Macaca mulatta: one gene and its partner. The protein of the gene in region 2 interacts with the protein of the main gene of each other region in a biochemical or structural test. Links are inferred from orthologs where the notes say so. Each region holds a gene or a part of one and is shown on either strand. Other genes may lie near its edges.

Region 1 (3,655 bases), about 65 Mb from region 2:
CTTTCATTGACAGAATGTGTATTGCTTTCGTAACGAACATCGTCATATACTCTACCCTTTAACCAAAACTCGCACCATTTTCATTCCTTATCTCCACATCTATGCTAAACACTTCTCTCTGGAGCATCCTCCCACAGATGCTATTTAACCAAATCTGATTAGGCGGTTTCTCTTCCCCAGAAATTGATCTCACTGCTCATATTCCAGAGAATTTTCTCATTTGTTTAACCATCCATTACCCTGGGAGTCTTTTTGCATCCTAGTGTCTTAGCTATTCATGTTGGGCTTTATCTGTTTTCCCACTTACTAGATAAGGCTTCTTGTGGGAAGAAACCAAGATTTCCTCATCTTTGCTTCCCCTACAGTGTTCTGTATAATAGATGCTCAACAAATCTTTGATAAATTAATATGTGGCATTTTTTTTTGCAATTCAATGTATATATTGCTAATAATTTAGAAAGAATCGAAATGATCACTTTATTTTCAAAATTTTATTTTTATGGAATCTCCAGCATGTTTAAACTTAATTTTTAGAACAAGATAAAATCCAAAAGCTTAAAATCAGATATTTTATAATGTGTCACAATTAAGTATGGAGAGTTGTCATTTTTGAGGAAAATCTTTCATAATTCTAAAAATGCAGATATTTACAATATTTTTAAATACAGACATATACAACATGGCATGTTTAAATGTACAAAATAGTTGAAATTATATTTTATTACAGAACATTCCAAAATTCACACTAATTTTAGAAAGTCCACAAACACTGATAGCATTTGGAAAAAACAAGCAACAAGTTTATCAATAACCATGCAGTATGTTTAGTAACTTATACACAACACATAATTTACATGTCAAATCCACAAACCTAAAGATATATGATTGATCTATTTAACTCATGCTAGAATCTAAATACTATTTTATAATTCGTAGGTTTAAACACATTTTACAGTAATCTATGAAATAGGAATATAAACTATGAAAAATATTTAACTGACTTCTTAAGAGACAAGGAAACGTCAAAAAGAGCAAATCAGGCATTTTTTCCCTGAAATTAAAGTTCTTATGGATACCTTTGTAAACATCAAAGGAAGAAAATAAAAACAACTCAGACATTATAACTTAATTTTACCTTCTCAAACTTCTGTTTAGAGCTCTTGGCATAATCACAGCTCCCCTGGGATATTTTTATTTTCTCCTGATTTAAGAGACAACATATTTATTCCCTCTCTTGTTCCAGGAAAAATGTAAGGTGGCTTAGAAGACAGACTCAGAATATACTAGAAAGTATAATTATAGGTTAAATAAAAAAGAAAATAGAGAAAGCAGAATGTGGGGGAATAGCACATAAAGCCATTTAAGAAAAGGTCAGGAAATATATCCTAAATTATATTATTCTCCCGCACTGATTTTCTGGAAATATTGCAAAATATATTAATTTGTAAGAAAACTAATATTAAAGTACTGGTAAACTAGAGCTGCTGATCAAAATTCTTTTTAAATCATTTATTTACCCTGACGAAGCAGATGATCATAAAAATGTATGTGCTTTTCTTTGTGCTTGGATAAAACAAGTTTTCCTAAATACCATATAAGTGACTCTAGATTTAGACCAATCTAGCTATTGGTAGAGTATAGGTGGAAAAAAAAAAATGTGGGCACCCTTACTGAATTTCTACTGAGAATTCCATCAACTGCTGTCTGTTGACTTGCGACTGGATGGCTTCAACTCAGGTGGTCATGTGTTACACGGCTCTTTTGTGAGCACAAAACAGAGCAGCATCAATTCCAGGGCATCCTGACTATTAGTTCCTCCAGCTCAACTCATCAGGACTCAGCAAGAGAAATGGGAGGAAGGTAATGCAGAGGAGGAGACCTGCTCCGGTTGGCATGTTGAGGCCACAGTCTCTGTTGGGTTGAGAGCTGCAGATTCTGACTGTGCTTACAGTCTGCATGTCACAGACCTTAACCCCACTCCTAGGGGCAGGGAAGGAATGGTATGGACAGAAGACTGGGAGCAGCATTAAATAGCTTCAGGGAAACATGAATGGTCTGTTCATCTCTATTCTACAGGCCTAGCTCTCAACAAATAATAGAAAGAAGGGTCTTGTATCTATATGCTGAGAAGAATGGAGGGAGTGACGATGAAGGAAAGGGTTTGTGGGAAATGGAGAGCAAAGAAAGGTAGTAGGATGTTTCCCTTTCAAGTGCGGCACGAGTTTCAAAACTATAGATTAGGGACCGACCAGAACAAAATATCTGAAGACTAAAAGAAACCACTGCTTCCTATCTTTTCTGAAGATGAATGGTCCCAAGTAACCCGCGTGAGTTTTGGTTAGGTTGGGAAGGAAGTTCAAGTCTATAGATCTATAACCATGGAAACTATAGTGCTCTTGCTTGGGGTGGCAAAGGCTTCCCCAAGAACTGTGCTAGTGGGAGAAGGGGACAGAATAATGACTGCTATTTTTCCAGTGATGCCCTTCAGAATATAGGCAGTGCCAACTTATCCATTACGCACAGTACCTAAGGCCCACAGTATTTTAGAAGCCCAGAAAAATATTTTAATTTTTTTTTCAGCCTCATAAGAAAACACTGAACTTTTAGACTAAACAAAATGTTTTAATCTAAAATATTAATACATTCATTTCATACAAACACAATTGTAAAATATCACTTTAAATTTTGTATGGAAGAAGGGGTCTAAGAAGGCAAAACTACCTAGGGCCCACAACAATCATATTGCAGCTCTGAATACAGGGTCAAACAAATTGTAACTGAAGCCATATAATTTGAACAGGAAACTGAAGATAATTTAAAAGGATTAGAGAAGAATGGTCAAGGCTAAAATAATGGAGATGGAGAGTCTGAGCTTACTGATCCTGCTCCACTGCTTTTTCTTTCCTTGAATGCTACTTTGGAATTAGGTAAGTCTAATATTGGGGAAGTGCTAGCGTCGATTTCCATTAGCCAACCCAGAAAACAAAAAAAAAAAATTAAGCTCATTATTTTATAGCCATTGCGCAATAATAAAGACAGAATCAGGATGAAGACACCTGCATGTCTTTAAGTCCCTTAGTCCTTTCTTCACTTCTGTAAACATTAGAGGCAGGTGTTCCTTTGAGACCCTGCATCCTGAACTTCCTGTGTCATAGGCCCCCTCAGTTCTAGACTTCCTCTGTGCTTCTCCAAGGCCCTGGCTCCATTATCCTCGGTAGTAGCCCAAGGCTGGCAGTGACAGCAATGTGGGTACCTGTGGTTGCAAAATTGTTTTAAGAATATGACAAAAGAAAAAGGAAGCAGGGAAAATGATGGAAGAAGAGATAAAAAAGTAACCAATGTTAACATACTAAAATTATGCTGTTAAAAAGATGGGGAAGGATTTATACACTAATTGCGTTTTTTAAATAGTAGCACTGAGATATTTGTACTTCACACTTCTCTGTAATTTTAAAATATATTTTACAAGACAAATGAACTCTATAGTCAGAAAATACTAAATATTACTTTGAAAATTGTGCTCTCAAGGCCCCAAACTCTTGACAAGTATCATCCTTGAGATCCTCACAATATGGCTTAGATTAGCAAATACGGTTAAACATTGGCACACAGGACAGGGAAACTCAGATTTGAGAGCAGTACTTTTAACAACTTC
Region 2 (2,097 bases):
GGCGGGTAAAGAGGCGGATTCCCAACATCCTAATTGAGAACCGACTCCTGGGAATGCTAAGCAGCACAATGAGTGAAGACACGCTCTAGATTCAAAAGCAAATCCAATCATGCACCGGGGACCTCAAGTTCCAAATGGTTAAAAACCTACGTGTGGCATTTCCCATGACCTTTACGCTAAAATTACTTTATGAGAAGAAACTAAGGGAGTAAGTGAACAAGCTCTTTTCTAGTGATTAGGTGGGTGGCTCTGAAAAGAGCCTTTGGAGTCAAGCAGCCGGCGACTCGAGCGAGCGAGCGCCAGGTCCCGGCAGGGACTCACTTGGAGCTGGTGTACTTGGTGACTGCCTTGGTGCCCTCGGACACGGCGTGCTTGGCCAGCTCGCCGGGCAGCAGCAGGCGCACGGCCGTCTGGATCTCGCGGGACGTGATGGTGGAGCGCTTGTTGTAGTGCGCCAGGCGGGACGCCTCTCCCGCGATGCGCTCGAAAATGTCGTTGACGAAGGAGTTCATGATGCCCATGGCCTTGGACGAGATGCCGGTGTCGGGGTGGACCTGCTTCAGCACCTTGTACACGTAGATGGAGTAGCTCTCCTTGCGGCTGCGCTTGCGCTTCTTGCCGTCTTTCTTCTGGGCTTTGGTGACGGCTTTCTTGGAGCCCTTTTTAGGAGCCGGAGCGGATTTTGCCGGTTCAGGCATGGTAAGACACAGTACAAACGCGGCTTAGCCAAGAAAAGAAGTAAGAGAATGGGCGGGCCTGATTCTTTTATAACCACCTTATGCAAATTAGGGCTCCGAAAGTCATTCATTTCCATTGGTCCGTGTGCGGACCTTGCGTTTTCAGCAATGCGTACGCAACAACACCGACTCTTGACTTGATTGGCCGGTTCTGAAGCCATATTAGGACCAATGAAAAACTCGTTCTAGACCCCACCCCTAGGAAAGCTTATAAAGGCTTTCCTCTTGGTTCTCTTTCAAGCTTATTTTGTAGCGAGGTTCTGAGCATTGTCTGTGTTTAACCTTGGTTTCAGTCATGTCTGGTCGTGGCAAACAAGGAGGCAAGGCTCGCGCCAAGGCCAAGTCGCGCTCGTCCCGCGCTGGCCTCCAGTTCCCGGTAGGGCGAGTGCACCGCTTGCTGCGCAAAGGCAACTACGCGGAGCGGGTGGGGGCTGGCGCGCCAGTCTACATGGCGGCGGTCCTCGAGTACCTGACCGCCGAGATCCTGGAGCTGGCGGGCAACGCAGCTCGGGACAACAAGAAGACGCGCATCATCCCTCGTCACCTCCAGCTGGCCATCCGCAACGACGAGGAACTGAACAAGCTGCTGGGCAAAGTCACCATCGCCCAGGGCGGCGTTTTGCCTAACATCCAGGCCGTTCTGTTACCAAAGAAAACTGAAAGCCACAAAGCCAAAAGCAAATAAATGCAGACAAACAAACCAAAGACCAAAGGCTCTTTTTAGAGCCACCCAAGTTTTCAAAAAAAGAGCTAATGCGCTATTTCGTGATCAGCCCTTCATTTGACACTTTGGTGGCTCTTAAAAGAGCCTTTGGGGTGAATGAGTATGGTGTCAAGCCTCTTAATTACTTGTTCTTGCCAGGCTTGTGACTCTCCGTTTTCTTGGGCAACAGGACAGCCTGGATATTGGGTAAGACGCCGCCCTGGGCAATGGTGACACCCCCGAGTAACTTGTTGAGCTCTTCGTCATTCCTCACGGCTAGTTGCAGATGGCGAGGGATGATGCGCGTCTTCTTGTTGTCCCGAGCCGCGTTGCCTGCTAGCTCCAGAATTTCCGCGGTCAGGTACTCGAGGACCGCCGCCAGGTACACCGGGGCGCCTGCCCCCACCCGTTCCGCGTAGTTGCCCTTGCGCAGCAAGCGGTGCACTCGCCCCACCGGGAACTGGAGGCCAGCGCGGGACGAGCGCGACTTGGCCTTAGCGCGGGCCTTGCCTCCCTGCTTTCCGCGTCCTGACATTACGGCTAAAATTGCAGTTACAGCTTCTTTTACAAGGAGAAGAATGTGGAAAGAATAACCAATTTGATGTAATTTATAAGAGCTACCGGGAGGGGTGAAGGGAAGTCGTTTGATTGGCTAAA

The links. The genes of interacting proteins can lie anywhere in the genome.
Region 1: of the proteins of H2AC20 (region 2) and MYSM1, one has a biochemical effect on the other in vitro, tested with the Homo sapiens proteins (2 studies listed by BioGRID). The link is inferred for Macaca mulatta from reciprocal best matches to the Homo sapiens genes H2AC20 and MYSM1.

Annotation. Positions count from the first base shown.
Region 1 is NC_133406.1:181,988,250-181,991,904, reverse strand, and holds the end of MYSM1 (deubiquitinase MYSM1), read right to left. Parts: intron 3,254-3,655; coding exon 3,103-3,253; 3' UTR 477-3,102; downstream 1-476. UniProt on the Homo sapiens protein: Metalloprotease with deubiquitinase activity that plays important regulator roles in hematopoietic stem cell function, blood cell production and immune response.
Region 2 is NC_133406.1:117,264,206-117,266,302, reverse strand, and holds H2AC20 (histone H2A type 2-C), read left to right. Parts: upstream 1-975; 5' UTR 976-1,032; coding exon 1,033-1,422; 3' UTR 1,423-1,442; downstream 1,443-2,097. Other genes in the region: H2BC21 (histone H2B type 2-E), read right to left, coding at 318-698; H2AC21 (histone H2A type 2-B), read right to left, coding at 1,583-1,975. UniProt on the Homo sapiens protein: Core component of nucleosome. Nucleosomes wrap and compact DNA into chromatin, limiting DNA accessibility to the cellular machineries which require DNA as a template.